3 linked regions of the Rattus norvegicus genome follow. The protein of the gene in region 3 interacts with the protein of the main gene of each other region in a biochemical or structural test. Links are inferred from orthologs where the notes say so. Each region holds a gene or a part of one and is shown on either strand. Other genes may lie near its edges.

The links.
Region 1: the proteins of Gsk3b (region 3) and Muc1 form a complex in vitro, tested with the Homo sapiens proteins (2 studies listed by BioGRID). The link is inferred for Rattus norvegicus from reciprocal best matches to the Homo sapiens genes GSK3B and MUC1.
Region 2: of the proteins of Gsk3b (region 3) and Nin, one has a biochemical effect on the other in vitro, tested with the Homo sapiens proteins (2 studies listed by BioGRID and IntAct). The link is inferred for Rattus norvegicus from reciprocal best matches to the Homo sapiens genes GSK3B and NIN.

The regions. Positions count from the first base shown.
Region 1 is NC_086020.1:176,931,648-176,937,443, forward strand, and holds the start of Muc1 (mucin-1 precursor), read left to right. Parts: upstream 1-2,102; 5' UTR 2,103-2,163; coding exon 2,164-2,221; intron 2,222-2,991; coding exon 2,992-4,367; intron 4,368-4,466; coding exon 4,467-4,519; intron 4,520-4,660; coding exon 4,661-4,794; intron 4,795-4,904; coding exon 4,905-5,026; intron 5,027-5,102; coding exon 5,103-5,252; coding exon of another isoform or gene 5,253-5,465; exon of another isoform or gene 5,466-5,796. UniProt on the Homo sapiens protein: The alpha subunit has cell adhesive properties. Can act both as an adhesion and an anti-adhesion protein. May provide a protective layer on epithelial cells against bacterial and enzyme attack.
Region 2 is NC_086024.1:94,359,380-94,365,175, reverse strand, and holds the start of Nin (ninein), read left to right. Parts: upstream 1-1,565; 5' UTR 1,566-1,674; intron 1,675-2,050; 5' UTR 2,051-2,097; exon of another isoform or gene 2,098-2,462; intron 2,463-5,796. UniProt on the Homo sapiens protein: Centrosomal protein required in the positioning and anchorage of the microtubule minus-end in epithelial cells. May also act as a centrosome maturation factor.
Region 3 is NC_086029.1:76,149,875-76,155,670, reverse strand, and holds the start of Gsk3b (glycogen synthase kinase-3 beta), read left to right. Parts: upstream 1-2,421; 5' UTR 2,422-2,560; coding exon 2,561-2,648; intron 2,649-5,796. UniProt on the Homo sapiens protein: Constitutively active protein kinase that acts as a negative regulator in the hormonal control of glucose homeostasis, Wnt signaling and regulation of transcription factors and microtubules, by phosphorylating and inactivating glycogen synthase (GYS1 or GYS2), EIF2B, CTNNB1/beta-catenin, APC, AXIN1, DPYSL2/CRMP2, JUN, NFATC1/NFATC, MAPT/TAU and MACF1.

The sequences.
Region 1 (5,796 bases), on a different chromosome or scaffold from region 3:
GGGGCCGAGGGGGCCGGAGGCCGGGACGAGTGCAATATTGGCAGGGGAAAGAACAACACTGCACCGCGTCCCGTCCCTCCTGCCCACCCGGGGCTCTGGAATCCCGCTCCCTACCTCCTGGGTCGCTGGAGCCCAGGGACAGGAGTGCTCTGGGGAGTTTGGGTCACCTTAGAGGTGCACCAGAGCCTGGACACCCAGGAGAGTGAGGTGGCGAGAGGGAAAGGATGAGGAGGGAAGGGGAGCTTCTGGTGCCCCGGAAGGCCACTTTCCAACGCCAAAGCTGTGCGCGCCCTTGCTCTTTAAATACTCAGACTGAGAGGCGCGGAGCCATTGCCATGGTGACTGGTGTCCCAGCAACCGAATTGAATGGCTGTTGCCTGGCAATCCTGGGAGTTGGGGTTTGGTGCCGCCCACCTAAATACTTGTGGGCGAGCTGACGTAGGGCGTCCCCACTCCGCCTGGAGCTGGCCTGACAAAGCCGCTCACAGGCGGGACACACGGCGGGAGCGTGGGACCCACGCCTCCGTTCATGCACCTCCGAAATGTTTTTAAAGTATTAGTTTCGGTTTTGTATTGGTTGGAACTAAGAACTGTTTGCCTACTACAGTTGTAACTGCTCCTGCTGGTTTACACCGCAACCTACGCTTGCGGGATCTGGCCTGGTATCCTCAGTCCGAGTGCTGCTGTGAACCCAAACCCAACTATTTCTGCCCTTCAGAATACCTCTCGGTTCTCCCTAAACACACACACACACACACACACACACACACACACACACACACACACACGGGTTTGCCTTGTTCCACGTGCTTGTTCACCCAAACCCAACTATTTCTGCCCGTCAGAATACCTCTCGGTTCTCCCTAAACACACACACACACACACACACACACACACACACACACACACACACACACACACACACACACACACACGGGTTTGCCTTGTTCCACGTGCTTGTTCGCCCCAAATATTGTTCCTCTTCCAGATACATCTCGAAGTTCCCAAGTTCCACGATCGCCCCACCTACTCTTTGCCTCCTGAATATCTAGCTACCTGTACATAACCTGTCCCGTCCCCCTTTGCCAATTCAGTGTCATCACACAACTCGATACCCCCTTCCACATACCTTGGGGCTCCAACCACTTATCCCCTGTCCCCAAACACCATCCCCAGAAGTCAGAGTAACCCAAGTAATGATCCCTGCTTCTTCCCGACACTGTGCATTTTTATCTGTCGAAGGCGTTGATTCTTTCCGCCAAGACACAACTAACTTCCCTAAGATATGTGCCTCAACTTGGGCTGTGCTTCCAAAACCTCCCTACACAGAAGCAACCCTTCAGCCTGTGCGAGTACGCCGCGCGACGCTCGCGGTGACCACTAGAGGGCAGGCGTTTCCGGGTAGAAGGACTGGTCAGCCTGCCACTCAAGGTGGAGGGTTGAGTAGGAAGGACCTTAGGCTTCAGTGGAGCCTGGAGTTTCGTCCTTTTTAAGTGGAAATTTCCCCCATCGCCTTTCTCCGGAGAAAGTCAAAGAGAGACCCAGGCTACTGGAAAGTCTGGCAGGGGCGGGGACTGTGGTTTTCAGAGTACAGGGAGCGGTTAGAAGGGTGGGGCTGTTCCGGGAAGTGGCGGGGGGGGGGGGCGCTAAAACTAGCGACCTGTCCACTATTATCCCCCTTATGTCCTCTCAACTTATGAGAAGTGGTTTTTAAGGATCCTCAGAGAGAATAGGAAAAGGGATCGGGGAGGGGGAGCGGGAAACGGGCTTCCCTTGTTGTCCAGGGTCTTTCTGTGTTTCCCTTACTCTTCTTGGCTGTTGCTCTGGGACTAAAACCAGAGCCAGGGCCCCCAGATTTCCTCCACATACACACCTGGGGTACTCAAAGAGTGGTTGGTAAAAGTGGGAGGCCAAATGGAGAATAAACAGGTTGTCATATGGTTGAGTGATTGGAGCCCAAGTACCCTACACAGGAATGACTGGGGAGGAGGAGGAAAGAATAGGGGAGGGGGTGGAGTTTTGTTACCTGTCACCTGCTCTGACTGTGCCTAGGGCGGGAGGGGGACTGGTATAAAGCAGCAGGCACCAGCCCTGTTCCAGCGCACACACGCAGCGCCAGCCTTGAGTCTGTTTCTACCCCTTTCCCGCCTGTTCACCACCACCATGACCCCGGGCATACGGGTTCCTCTCCTCCTGCTGCTACTTCTAGCAAGCCTAAAAGGTGAGAGGTACAAGGTGGGGAGGGGCTGCACTGTTCAGGTGGGACTCAGTCTTTCTGGCACAATGAGAGTCATAAGTGGCCATCCACTCAGGGATGGCCCAGTATGTGCCGGAGGGAAAGAGGCTAAGGAAGGAGGCTGAGAAGAGGTGACTCCCCCAAGAGAGTGGGCACCAGAGTAGGCAAATGCTCTTCGTGGGGAGTAGAGAAGAGAGGCTGCGTCAGGAGAAGCAGCTCCAGCTCCGGAGTGGAAGAATGGGGCCGTGTGGTTCCAGTCTACAATTCCCACACTCAGGACACTCGGGTTCACAGAGAGTTCAAGGCCAGCCTAGGGTACAGTATGAATACCTGTCTCAGAGATAAGCAGTAGAGGAGTGAATGAGCCAGAAGCAGAGGTGAGACCTTTGAGGAGGGAGGCTGTCAGGAAGGATGAAGGCAAACGTAGGACTACCTGATGTTAACCTGACCCCCCTTCCTTCCGGGGTTACTTTGGTTTCGGAGTTTATATTTTTCTTCTTGCTCTGATTTTATTCATTAACCCAGTAGGTTTCCCCCCCCCCTTTTTTTTTTAAACTCTGGCTCTAGCCAGAACTAAAACATCACACATGCTATCTAAAGCAACCCAGTGTCCAACTCTGTTGATTGGTGCTGTGAGCATGAAACCCCCTCATCTTCCACTCTGGCTCAGGTTTTCCTGCCCTTCCAAGTCAGAAAAATAGTGTCACCTTATCTCAGGACACCAGCAGTTTCCTTAACATCGACTATCACTCCAGTCCGCAGTGGTGCCTCCTCCTCAACCACCAGCCTTCCAGGGGACTCCTTCAGCACTGCAGTCCCCAGTGGTGCCTCTTCCTCAGCCACCAGCCCTCCAGTGGACTCCACCACCTCTCCAGTTCATAGTAGCACCTCGTTCCCAGCCACCAGCCCTCCAGGAGACTCCACCAGCACTGCAGTCCTCAGTGGTGACTCAGATCCAGCCACCAGCCCTCCAGGGGACTCCTCCAGCACTGCAGTCCCCAATGGTGCCTCTTCCTCAGCCACCAGCCCTCCAGTGGACTCCACCACCTCCCCAGTTCATAGTAGCACCTCGTTCCCAGCCACCAGCTCTCCAGGGGACTCCACCAGCACTGCAGTCACCAGTGGCACCTCTTCCTCAGCCACCAGCCCTCCAGAGGACTCCTCCAGCACTGCAGTCACCAGTGGCACCTCGTCCCCAGCCACCAGCCCTCCAGGGGACTCCTCCAGCACTGCAGTCACCAGTGGCACCTCGTCCCCAGCCACCAGCCCTATATTGGACTCCTCCAGCACTGCAGTCCTCAGTGGCACCTCGTCCCCAGCCACCAGCCCTCCAGAGGACTCCACCAGCACTGCAGTCACCAGTGGCACCTCGTCCCCAGCCACCAGCCCTCCAGAGGACTCCACCAGCACTGCAGTCACCAGTGGCACCTCGTCCCCAGCCACCAGCCCTATATTGGACTCCTCCAGCACTGCAATCCACAGTGGCACCTCGTCCCCAGCCACCAGCCCTCCAGGGGACTCCTCCAGCACTGCAGTCCTCAGCGGTGCTTCCACCCAAACCACCAAGGCTGTATCAGACTTAGCTAGCACTCCAACCCACAATGGCATCATGGTCCCAACTACCTGGTCTGCATTGAGCTCAGCCACCAGTCCGGTGTACAGTGGTTCCTCAGCTACAACTAATAGCTCTGAATCAGACATGGCCACCACTCCAGTGTACAGTGGCACCCCATTCTCTTCTACCACGGCTACGTCAGCTATCACCCCAGACCACAATGGCTCCTTGGTGCGAACTACCAGTTCTGTGTTGGGCTTAGCCACCAGTCCAGCCCATGATACCTCTGCGGTGGCCACAACTCCAGTCCGCAATGACACTCAGTCTTCAGTTCCAAGTCAGCAGCCCATCTCTCCCACCATCCCCGCCATCTCCAGCCACAGTACTGTTAGCAGCAGCTCTTACTACAGCACAGCGGTCTTCCCTACCTTCTCCAGTAACAGCTCACCCCAGTTGTCTGTCGGGGTCTCCTTCTTCTCGTTGTCTTTTTACATTCGGAACCACCCATTTAATTCTTCCCTGGAAGACCCCAGCTCCCGCTACTACCAAGAACTGAAGAGGAACATTTCCGGATTGGTGGGTATCAGCCTGGTCTCGGCCATGCTGCCCTGATATAGCTCTTCGGGACCACACGAATCTTTTACATCAAACCCGAGTCTTCTCCTCCTATCCCAGTTTCTGCAGGTTTTTAACGGAGACTTTCTGGGGGTCTCTACTATCAAGTTCAGGTATAATTCTGGATTTGCCCTGTGGGAGGGATGGACAGTCCCGCAACTTTGTGATGTCCGGGATGGGGGTGTGGCGGGTGGGGTGGGGATGCTGAGCTATAAGCAGAGAGTCGATCTGAGCCCCCTATTTCCTGCGACCAGGTCAGGCTCGGTGGTGGTAGCATCGACTGTGATTTTCCGGGAGGGCACTTTCAGTGCCTCTGAAGTGAAGTCACAGCTCGTACAACATAAGAAGGAGGCAGCTGACTATAATCTGACTATCTCGGAAGTCAATGGTGAGGTGACAGCCCCAGCTGCACCCTGGCACCACCTGTTTACCTTTGGTGCTGGGAGTGGGAAATCCACCTCCTTTGGGGACTTCCCTGACCACTGTTTTCCCTTCTAGTGAATGAGATGCAGTTCCCTTCCTCTGCCCAGTCTTGGCCTGGGGTACCAGGTTGGGGCATTGCCCTGCTGGTACTGGTCTGTATTTTGGTGGCTTTGGTCATCGTCTATCTCATTGCCCTGGTAAGTCTCAGTCCTTCTGCGGTGTCACCCCTGGTAAATGAATCCCATTGGCCAAGACAATCCCCTGTCTCCCCAGGCATTGTGCCAGTGCCGCAGAAAGAGCTATGGGCAGCTGGACCTCTTTCCAACCCGGGACACCTACCATCCTATGAGTGAATATCCTACCTACCACACTCACGGACGCTATGTGCCCCCTGCCACTACCAAACGTAGCCCCTATGAAGAGGTAAAGTATGTCCCGCAGGTTGGGGCAGCGACCTGGACTGGGTGGGGGCTTCTGAAGGGGTACTTGGGAAACCGGAGGAGCTCCAGAGAGGTGAGCAGTAGAAGGCCCAGCACGGTTGGGAATGGAGGCAGAATCCTGGGGGTCAGGCAGAAAAGGCTCCTTGGGAGACTACAGAAAAAAAAAGAAATGTCTGCCCTGGGGTTGGGGATTTAGCTCAGTGGTAGAGCGCTTACCTAGGAAGTGCAAGGCCCTGGGTTCTGTCCCCAGCTCCGAAAAAAAGAACCAAAAAAAAAAAAAAAAAAAGAAAGAAATGTCTGCCCTACCCGTTTTCCCAGAAAAGCCTTGCTGTCTGCACCATTTGTGCTGATTCGGATGCCCAGAGGTGAAGTGAGGGGTGCTGTCCCCGGGAGCCCCCACATTCCTCTGGCCTCCTAGGGAGCCCCCACATTCCTCTGGCCTCCTAGGGGTCGGGGAGTAGCTACAGAAAGCTGGGGTGGGAAGGCTCTGGTGAAAAAGAAGTTTCCTCTAGCTAGAGAGTGCTGAG
Region 2 (5,796 bases), on a different chromosome or scaffold from region 3:
TGCTTCCTCACCCTTCCCCTCAGAGGCTGTCGGTGGTTTGAGTGCCCACCGATCGTCATTCTCTTGTTCATGACATCTCTGTGAGTATCCTGGTAGAGGGTTGATGAATGGTGTGATACTGAGTAGCTGTGCTTACAGTTTGTACGTTTCTGTGTGCTAGAAGGGGAGCTAGAAGGAAAAATGCCTCTTTCTTATTCTCCCAGATGCTCTGTATTGGAGAAAGGTTTGGATTTTTTTTTTTTAAAAATAACTGGCTTTGATATTTGATATTTTGAGATAACTGGATTCCCGTAAGTTGTAAGAAACAATATGGAGAGACCCTCTACATGTTTTATTTGGTTTTCTCACTCTGCAGAACTATAGCACAGTACAAGCAGAAAATAATAAACCAGGCCTGGGTCGGCTGGGGTCCCCAGGAAAATCTCTTTCACTAGTTCTGCTTTGCGAGCACTACATTCTAGGCAGTTTTGACACATATGCGATGTTCTTCTGAATCTTAGTCTGTGAAGGGCTTTCTGTGTGATGCTCTGGCTTCCGGGCCTTCCAGCTTCCTGCTTTCGAAACGCTATGGTGTCCACCTCCTCAGGGAGATTGTCACCGAGAGGTCACATCTGTTGGCTTCAGGAGCCTGAACTTGCCAGTTTCCTTTCTGTCGCCTACAACTCTCGGTGGCAAGAGGACTTTGTCCAGGTTCTTGTGGAAATAACTTATGGATATAATAAATCAAGACAGATCCTTCCTTCCACAAGGACTACGCATGGATCCTGCAAAGATGTTGCCTCGGGGCCCATAGCTCCCTCCACCTCTAGCCTGGATTTGAGATCCTGTTTGACTACTTGGTTTTAGGAAGCATAGGGAAGGGGAGAGCACTGAGATTTTGTTAGCACCTTTTTTAGTGAGGGTAGCATGTAGAGGAGGCTTGGGAGACAAAGGCAGGATGGGGACCCACCCACCAACCTTGATGGCAGAAGGACCACCAATTCCAATGACATTCTGCTTTGTGCGGCTGTCACAGAGGGTTAACTGCACCCTCTGAAGTTTATACACGGGGCAAGGCACCTATGAGAACGAGGCTTCTAGAAAAGGTGGAACGTCCAGAGCGCTCAATGCTCTATAGGGTCCACTGCTCTTCCGGGCCCTTTCCCATGACTTTCAAAGGGTTCTCTAGAGCTGGGAAAACCAGGGTGACCTGCAGGTGACAGAGGTACCCAAACCTCCACTTAAGGTCAATCAAGCTGGGGTCTTCACTCTTCAGAAACGTTGTGGGTCCTGTGCCAAGCGCCAGGTGCTAGGTGCCTCTGAGAGGAAACGGAGGTGGTGGGCAAGGGACCGCTGGTGAGCCGAGGCGACCTCTGGGTGCAGGACGATCACGCCGAGCCAGGGCGTTCCCAAATTCAAATCTCTCTGGCGGGGGCTCGCACCCGCCGACTCTCTGCGGCTACCCGCTCCTCCCTCGGCTGCGGCGGGAGGAGGAGCCGCGCCCTGGCCGGCGTCCCCTTGACTCCTCCCTGCGCGGCCAGGCTCTTCCTCCCCCGCGGCCCGATCTCCGGGTGGCAGCGGCTGAGCCGGGAGCGAGCGCGCTGGGCGCGGCCGTCCCGTGCCGCCGGGCCAAGCCTGAGAGTCCCGCGGTCATGGTCTGTGCGGTGGCGCGGGGCGCCTAAACCCCAGGACGCGGTAAGCTACAAGCTGGGGAGCCACGGGGGTCACGCGGCCTGGGAGAGCGAAGAGGCCTCGGCTGCCAATGCGCCGTCTACGAGGCACCCCGAGCGCCCTGAGCGGCGCAAGCCCGCAGATCCCGGTCCAGCACGCGGTGGCGGCCCCGGAGGGGCTCTGTCGCCAGCGGGTGGCGGCGGCGGGGGGGGAGGGGCGACGGCGGGGGCGGAGGATGCGCCGGCGCGCTTTTGTAAGTGCTGGCCCCTTACATATGGAAATGACGCCGGCGCGGGTCCCTAGTCGCGTCCTCTGGAAGGACGCGTGCCCGGATCGGCGGCGCGGGCTGCTCGGTGTCGCGGCGCTCGCGGGGCCCTAACAAAGCGCCCTTTCCTTGCAGAGCTCCGGAGGCGGCCGGCGTGGGCGCTCCCCAGAGGCCGAAGGAAGGTAGGCGAGGTCGGCGGGGCCGGACCACGGGTCTGGCGAGTGAGCTCTGCGACCCGCGGGTGGACAGGTGGAGTGGGGACGCCGCTCGGGTTGCTAGGAACCTGGGCTGGCCCGCCCTCCCGCCACACCTCCGCCTCCCAGACCTGAGGCGCCCGGAGCTGAAAGCTGCTACTGTGCCTCGCTCTAGCCGCGGGCAGGAGCCGGAGCTAGCAGAAAGGGTTCTTGTTCTGTGGGTCGAGGCCACCCAGGCAGCCCCGAGATCCAGAAGCTGAAGGGGAAGCCTGCGTGGGAAGCCCCTGGGTGCGGATCTGAACCTCTTGGGAGCGCAGAGCTGCTTGGAGTCCTAAAAGTGGAGATTTTAGAAGGTGCGTAGGATCCGTGCAGGTAGAGACTTCTGGGTGCAGCTAGCAGGAAAGGGTGGCAATACATCTTGACAGTTGCTCTGGAAAAAAACTGCGATCTCCAGAGCAGAGGAGTGTGGAATGAAGTGAGGAGAGAGTGTAGGTGGGAGAGAAGTATCCAAGACTCAGGTCTGAACTGCAGTACCACCCCCACTTCCCCTAAAAAGACAACGCTGATGGAAACCAGCCTCCGCTTAGAGCTCTGTGAATTCGAGAGAGATTGGAAAGGATGATGCTCCTAGCCTCAGCCCTGAAGGCGCAAACGAAAGGGGAGCTGGAATCGTGCACTGCCACGGATCGTATCTCCAGACAACTTTATTATGACACGGTCTCATCGTCCCTTACCTGGGACAGACCCTTTCCTGGCGTTACAACTCAACCAAAACAGACTGTGGTTGTGTACATGACTGCCACGGTAGCTCACAGGGTGCTCATCCCAATTAATCTCATAGCACCTGAGCTAGGCTCTTGGGACCATGAACTATTTCTCAGTTGGGCTCGCTCTCATTTATCATCTTGGCATAAATTTAAGTATTTGCATGCTCCCCAAGGCTTAACGAACCCCCAAGGAAATACTTTCCTGGTGCCGATGTAGCTTATTCTAGGGTCTTCTGTTATGGTGAGCGCTGGCTATTAGAGGCTGACCTGGAATATTAGTATGTCTTGCTGTGGAATTGAAAGAAGTTGTGAAACACTCATCAGTAATATCACGGACTGGCTGGAAGAGGAGTTCGTGCCGTCTCTTCGGCTGTGGTTGGTGTTCATAGGGAGGTGATCTGGGCAGGAGGTATTGGCAACCTGCCTACTTTCAAGGCTCTCTGATGTTTTAGAGGGAAGCATTCTGAGCTGTGGTGTTGAGAAAGCAAATGGATTGCCAACGTACAGATGCTGGGGCAAGGAAGAGGAAGCCACCCTCTATGTGGCCCTCTTGTTGAAATGTCATGATCCAGCCATTTTAATGGGTGCTCGCTGAGAATGTCACAAGTTCTTTCTTTCTTATTCCCCTTTCATTTTAGATATGTAGTGGCCCTTCATATCAGAAGATGTTAACTCACAGGACAAGGCTAGGGCTCCACAGAATCCTGAACAGCCAATCTTAATTTAATAGTCAGTGTTCTTATCATGAGTCAAATGTTGTTCACATAAATTGTTTTAAATGTCACTGTAAATGACTTTCCAAACTAACATTTTACCAGTCTTGAGGCTTCCATTTTGGGTTGATAATGAAAATACATTTTATAAGTCTTACCCTGATAGAGGCTTGACAGTTACATCGCAGAGCGATTCAGACAGTCCAAGCCTTTTAGATAGCTACTTTTATAAATGCCAGCTCATTTGTAAGCCAATAAATAATGCAGTTTGAATTCTGGCTATTGATCTCACATCTATTGGCCAAAGTCTTGTGGGGCAGGCTCACTGAACCTCACAATGAAAGATACATTTATCTGATTGTATTTACAAGTAAGATCATTTAAAACGTTATGGAATTATGAGAAACATCATTAGAAATTAGCTCACTTCTTTACTGCCATTTGTATAAGCAATTAGACACATGACTCCACATGGGGAGTGCTCCAAGTGTCGATATCCTGATAGCTCAACACAGTTGGGGAAATATCATCTGTAGATGTGAGAACAGACGTTTTCCACTCAGACCCTAGGAGCTCACATCAGCCATCCTAAATTAATTTATGTAAATACAGCTCAAGAAATGAAAGTTGTTTCAGGCTTTCTTTCTCCCTTTCTTCCTTCCTTCCTTCCTTCCTTCCTTCCTTCCTCCCTTCCTTCCTTCCTTCCTTTCTTGCTTTCTTTCTTAAGTAGCAAACACAAAAATCTGTTTTGTTTTTCGTTTTGTGTATGGCTCCTGTAGTTTTGTAAGTCGTTGAACATAGGTTACTGGATCTGGTGTGCAAAGCTGCTGGCTTTCCTTAGCTGATTAGGTAATTCACCTGCTATTAGGTGTAACAAAAGCTGGATTCACACCAGCCTGCAGGGCAGTAAAATCCTACCGCTTGTTTAGGTTGAGAATAAATACTAGCTGGGTGCCCTTGGCACAATTAAATTTTAGAGTAGGGTTAGCAAAGCGAGCACTCTTCCAAACTCATTTGAATGTGGAGTCTCCCTGTTGGGTGGCATGTAGGGGTTTATATTTTTTTCTCCCTCAGCTCTGTTCCTGCTGGTGCTGTATTGCTTCTGGTTCGCAGCTTGAAGGGAGGAGGTCCTGTTTGAGTTGGGAGGAGGCATTTGGCAGTTTGTGGCAGAGCAGCAAACGGTACCTTGAAGAAATGTTTTTGGTAAAAATTGGGGGGTTGGGGGTGAGCAGGGCATTGCTTATTCTGGAGTTGGTGCTGCACTTGAGTTTCTTCTCCTTGTTATTTCCTTTTACAATTAGTGTAAGAGTAAGCCTGGAGAATTTTGCCGCTGATAAAGAGGCAGGAAAAAAGGGAAGAAAGAGGAACTTAATTTGATCATGGTCCATTATTAGGGTCTAATAAAGGCATAGGAGAGAAAAGCCTAAGCAGGCAGGGTTTGTCTGTGTTCATCGTTGCAGCCCCAAAGTAATGAAATTAGTCACTTGGTGGTCACTGCCTGGGCTCTGGACCCCCAACAGCTGTGTCTGAACACACGTCCGAAAGCATCTATTATCATACTCTCTTGAAAGGGAAGGCTGAGCCTAGAGGGGCACACAGACATTCCGCAGAGCTGTTCAGCTGCTGGGCCATCTGGAAGGGAAATAAAAGGTCTGGGCTGGGGACTCTGGCATTGGGTTTATTAAGTATTTGGTTTGCACTTGCCAGACTTTGTCCCTCTTTTACTCCCTCCAGCCTAGAAGCCCAGAACAGATACCCACCCTGGCTGGGGTTCCAGACTTACAGGCTCCTGGTGTGGGGAAGTTTGCACGTGCACGTCCCACTGACCTGGGGAGCCCTTTGCTGTCCAACTCTACCTCCACCTATTTTTTGGACATCCCTGTTGGCACCGTGTTTTCGTCAACTGGGGGGGGGGGTTGAATAAAGAGTGTAGCACAGACATGTGACGGATGCCAGTCTGTGACCTAGTGACAGCCTTGTTTTGGGTTCGTTGGGAGGAGGATGCTCGAGTAATTGTCATTATGGCCGGTTATTGGGTAGTAAATGTTTTGATTGCTTGCTCTGTGCATCTGCCTCTTATTTAACTGTCCCTAGTTAGAACACTAACATATTGACCACACCAGCCCTTTTATTCCAAAGGAGTCATAATGGCTTCTGGCTAGCTGTCATTGGTGCGGTTTTCCTGCTGTTGGGGCTGTCATCTGTAA
Region 3 (5,796 bases):
CTCAACAGAAAGAGATGACTATGCGGGTGGATACTACAAGTATCACGGGATTACAGACAGGATTGCCAGTGTCCACTCTAATTTACTCTCGTCATAGTAGCCACGCTACCCAGCTCTCGGATGGACGGACCAAGGCAATGGTCTCCTTTGTAGAACAATGGACGCTTGACTACACGTGAAACCTACTTGAGCAGCAGTGTGCATATCACCCGAAACACTAAAAACTGCTACGAGCAATTCTGACTTGAGCTTCCTTGTAGGCTTCAGGGTATCGGCCTGACCACATTTCCCCTCACCTGTTTTCGGGGTTGCTTTTGCGCTGTACAGTCGCGCCCAAAGAACGCGCGCATCTAGCATGAGCTCATCTTTCGGGGGCGTTTCCAGAAGGCCAGACCTGGCAGTGTGCGCCTGCTGCAAAGGGCTCCCCCCACCCCCACGATATCAGCGGCCCCCCGCGACGGGCGGGCGCGGCTGCCCAGAGGCGCTCCCTCTCTGGAAGCTTTGTTTCCATTTGAGTGCCTACGTCTTTCAGGGAAGACGTTCCCATATCCTTAGCTCGCGCGGTGGGGAGCCTCGGGCGCACTCGGTAAGCTGCGCCCCGCGGAGCTCCCGGGAATGGGGACAACCTCTCGTCCCACTAGAGCGCTCGCGGCTCGGCCCTCCGACCGCCAGCATTTTCAGACCGGCTGCACAGCCAGCACGAGCGTCGGGTCGGAGAGCAGACGCAGGCCGACCACTCAGCCGGTCCGCCCGCTCTAGGGACCACCCGAGGCCAATCCCACTGCAGCTAGGTCTTGCGATTACACAGCAGTGGTCGCCCATTGGCCGCCGCCACGGGCTCCTACACCCTCCTTCTCCCTTTTGCGGCTCCCCTCCCCCGCGCTACAGCTCCGATGCTGCAGACCAATGAGATGGCACTTTATAGATGCACTCCCTCCGCTTTCGTCTTCTCCCCGCCTCAAAGAGGGAGGGGAGGCTCTGACTGGCCAGATGTCCTCGGAAGCCCCCTTCCCTTCACCAATCACTGAGAAAAGAACACGCCCGGTGGAGTTGTCCAGCCAATGAGGAAACGGGCGCGGTGCCCAGCCGAGTAGTTCCTCCCGCGACTCGGGAGTTTCGCTGTCCTTAACTCTTCAGGCTTCCCCCTGCGGGCCTAGAGCTCCGATTGGCCACTGTCGCTATTGTCGAATCTTTTCTCCAGCCAGCCACAGAACAAGGCGAACCCTCTTTCCCTCTTTTCGGCTACCTTCGGCATTCCTCGTTGCCGGGGCGTGGTCTCCCAGCGGCGTCTCCTCATTGGTTATTTAGGCCGCTCGGCTTTTTCCGGCCGGAGCTGCAAGCAAACGACGTCTTTGATTGGTTCCAGCTTAGGTTTCGGCTCCACAGCCGAAGCTGGCGGGCGCGGGCTCGGCGAGCGATTCCCAGACGCCTGTTACGCGGGCGGCGGGGCGCTGGGCGGTGTAAGGCTGGGTGGGGGAGGAAGGAGGCGGAGGACGAGTAGGAAGGGGGAGGGGGGAGTGGGGAAGGGCTAGGCGACTGCGCAGACGGCGCGCCTCGCACAGAGCAGCCCCCGACCCGGCCGAATGCGGGCTTGTGTCGCCGCCGTCGCCGCCGCCTGGGCCGAGTGACAAAGGAAGGAAGGCAGCGAGGAGGAGCCGTCCCTGCAGCCGCTGACAGGGCTTCGGGCTCGGGGCACAGCGCGGACACTTCCCGAGCAGCCGCTCAGCAGAGGCGAGGGGCGGAGGCCGGCCGTGCCGGGGCCGCGGACGGGGGAGGGGACCCCGAGGGACGGAAGCGGTTGCCTGGTTCCCATGTCCCCGGCGTATGGGGAGCAGTCAGGGAGCCGCTGCCTGGGGTCTGAAGGGAGCTGCCTCCGCCGCCGCTGCCGCCATGGCCGCTGGATCCAGCCACCGCCTGCAGCTGCTCCTGGCGCAATGAGGAGAGGAGCCGCCGCCGCCACCGCCCGCCACTGACTCGCGACTGCGCTGCCCTCCGATTCACCCGGCCGCCGCCGCCGTCAGACCGCCGGATCCCTCTGCTGCCGGAGCCGCAGCGTTTGCCGTCGCATCTCCGAGCCATCTCCTCCCTCCTTCCCATCCCCCTTCTCTTCAAGCGTGAGGCTCGTGATCCTTCCGCCGCTTCCCTTCTTCATTGACTCGGAAAAAAATCCCCGAGGAAAATATAATACTCAGAGTACTTATTTTCAATCAAGTATTTGCCCTCGTTCACGTGATATATATATATTTTTTAAGGATTCCACTCCACCCTTTTTCTCCTCTCCCAGGAAAGGGAGGTGAAAGAATTATATTTTCCCCCCAGCTCTAAATCATCTATGTGTTAAATATCCGTACCGATCTGTCTTGAAGAAATACATAGCTCCTTTTTTTTTTCTTCTTAAATAGCTATACAAAAGGAGTGAAAGGCCAAGAGAACGAAGTCTTTTTTTTTTTTTTCTTGCGGGAGAACTTAATGCTGCATTTATTATTAACCTAGTACCCTAACATAAAACAAAAGGAAGAAAAGGATTAAGGAAGGAAAAGGTGAATCGAGAAGAGCCATCATGTCGGGGCGACCGAGAACCACCTCCTTTGCGGAGAGCTGCAAGCCAGTGCAGCAGCCTTCAGCTTTTGGTAGCATGAAAGTTAGCAGTGAGTATCGATTTTATTTTACACCCTTTCTCCACCTCACCATTAAGATAAGAAACCTCGAAATACCAGGATCTAAACTAACAGACCTGATAGAACAGTCAGTCAGCCAGTGGTAGTGGAAAAGGGCAAAACCTGTCTTGACTCAAGATGAGGCAGCTCCTTTTTCTCCTCCCATACCCATACCCCCCTCCCCCAGCCTCATTAACCTTGAATTGAGAGAATATTAGTTTTATTTGGCTGATTGGATTCGAAACTTATTTTCTTACGTTCTCCGTGCTGTTGGTAGTCAGTCTTTTCAAGTGCCCCAGTGCCTCCGGGTTAAGCGGTGGAAGCTTTCGCTTGCCCATCCCTTTGAATAAAGAGGACAACGCTTGATTAATAAACCATGATGTACATTTGCCGAGTCCGTGTCTTCTGGAATGAGGGGGTTTATTTTAGTTAGCTCAGGTTATCACGGGTCTGCATTCTAAATAGAGATACTAAATGCCCCAGCCTCCTAATATTTCCTTTTTGCCTGTGTGACTACACAAAGTATTTTTGAATCTGGGGAGGAACTTGCTTGGTAACCCACATTCCCGTTGGAGGCGAGCTAGTATCCATCCCTCACTCTTCTCCGGGCTGGTGGGAGCTGAGAAATATCCCGCAGCAGATGCATCTCTGAGTGCATTGTTTTTAATTTTTAAGTGGTTTAATGTGTTATCTCTTAACCTTCCTGTTTTGACATTACCAATCTGCCACCATATAATTTGTGTAATCAAAAGGTAACTTGGAGATTCAACTTTTGATTGAGGTTGTATTGCCATATTGCCAAATACTAAGTTAAGTGTTGTCACTGACTGTCATTTAAGTTTAATTTTGAAGTGGTGTTGCATTTATTACTTGTTAATTTTTTTTTTAAAGAGTACAAGTGGATACCTTTTTAGGCTGATTTAAAATGTATCTATGAGTATCTGTCAGTCTTTTGCTGGGGAATCTGTGCTGAAAAAAAAAAAAAGTCTGTGTTCTTGAAGTGTTTGGTATACCGAGTATCCAGTGTTCAAATGTATCTATTTGTGGAGATGTTTATGTGGTATTTCATGACAGCTTATTAGAACATAGTTGCAGATTCTGGCCAAAATATCTATGGTATTTTCCTTATTCCTTGAGAAAGAAGAGGGAGGAGATAGATAAAACTGTTTTGTGGCTGAGAGGAGCTGCTGTAACTGAAGAACTAAGATTTTTAAAAAGTTAAAATGCATGTGCTGTTATGTGCAATTGATTAAGCAACTGGGAGTGAGGAATCCTCCAGTTGCACGCAGGATTGTTATGTGCAATTGATTAAGCAACTGGGAGTGAGGAATCCTCCAGCTGCATGCAGGATTGCAGTTCTGTAGGCTTTTGGACCTTGTCTGGAACAGAGAAGTCCAAAGTTGTATCCAGAGCGATAGCTGAGTGGGAGAGATTTTTGCAAGTTAACTTTTTTCTTTCCTTCAGTGAGTGACTAGCCAATTTAGAACGCAGGGCATGTTAAGAGGGAAGCTGATTTCACATCTTTCAGGGAAGGGTCATGCTTTCTAAGCACTTTATGGAGTCATTTGAAAGGAATTTTAAAAAATGCTAGGGTCATTTTCAGTGATGATGAAGTAGACTTCATGGTAACTACTGAAGAGCCTTTCATGGTACTTCAGTATTTGTGCTTTGACTAGTTTAAAAAAAAAAAAAACCCAGTCAATTTTAGACCATTTATGAGGTTTATTTCAGAGATCTGTAATGCCAGACTAAAATACCAAAGTTGGGAATTTCTCTTCTTGTTTCCAGGATTTTCTTTGAAAACAACTTAGCCTTGATAGAGTTTCTTTAGGGTGGAGGAAATCCCAGAGGAATATAGTTTAAAGTGTTTTAATTTTATATTTACCATATCAGTCAACATTAAAAAGATGCTAATTATTACTATTTTTTTTTTAAAAATAACCTTGATATTAAGGACACATAGATGAAAGAGGAATTTGTTAGGGTGCTGGTGTTCAAAAAGGCATGTATGACATTAAGTCCTTGTTCCCAGAGCCTCTGATGTAAAGGCATACACATTCAGAAAAGGGCGAAGGCGATAAGCCTGATAACCGCAGTATTATAAAACGCCAAGTGAACCATTTGTTCAGAGGGACACAGGAAAAGGGTGATGAGGAAGGAGCAGGGAGGTTTCCGCAGAGGTGCTTCTTAAAACAGGTGCTGGCTAAGTCCATGAGCCTGTGGAGACACAAGCAGTGCACTGGGTAGAAGGCAGGCCCAGCCAGTCTGTTCTGTATGGGAGGTAAGGTGGTATATCTCAATTACCCCAGCCTACACGGGAGAACCGGGACGTGGGAGCTGAGGCTTAGAGGAAAGTAAGTTAATAAAGGGCAGAAAAGGCCTGTAGGTTCGGGTGGGGATCTAGGAGCTATCTGTCTGCACTAACTGTGCATTGCTGAACAAGACGTTCTGAAGGGATTTGGATAGCTGAAGGGAGAGACATTAGAAGCCTTTTGGGAGATAGTAGACTATGTTAGAGATCACAGTGAAATGTGAACATGGGATGAAAGGAAGAGATTTGAGGACTCATGAGGGAAAAGCTGGCAGGGCTTTGGATTGGACTGAAGGAGAATATTTGTGGAGTCAGGAGTTAAAAATAAAGTCTGAGGTTATTGGTCTGGAAGACTTGACCGCTGGGTTACATTGTTCATTGTAATGGGAAATTGAGAAAATGCTGAGACGAGAGGGCGGATGAGTTCAGTTTTTAAAAATGGCATACAATAAGTGTCTGGCGGTCGGTTACTAGCAGAGCTTAACTTTCTAGTCTGTTAATTTCTAATCCTCACCTAGAAATGCCAGGTTGTATTTGAGGACAGTAACTAGAGGTTATACTTAAACACATATTTTGTTTTGTTTTGAGACAGGGTTTTTCTCTGTGTAGCCCTGGCTGTTCTGGTACTTACTTGCTATGTAGACCTGCCTAGCCTTGAATTAACAGATACCCACTTGCTTCTGCCTCCCAAATGCTGGGATGAAAGTGCCTTCCACCACTAGTCATTTTATATAGTCTTAATCTTTGGGTCATTCTTAAATGTATTTTTCATAAGTAATGCTTCTTAGGTAAAATTTGCCTGTAAAATAATACCTTTAAGATTTAATT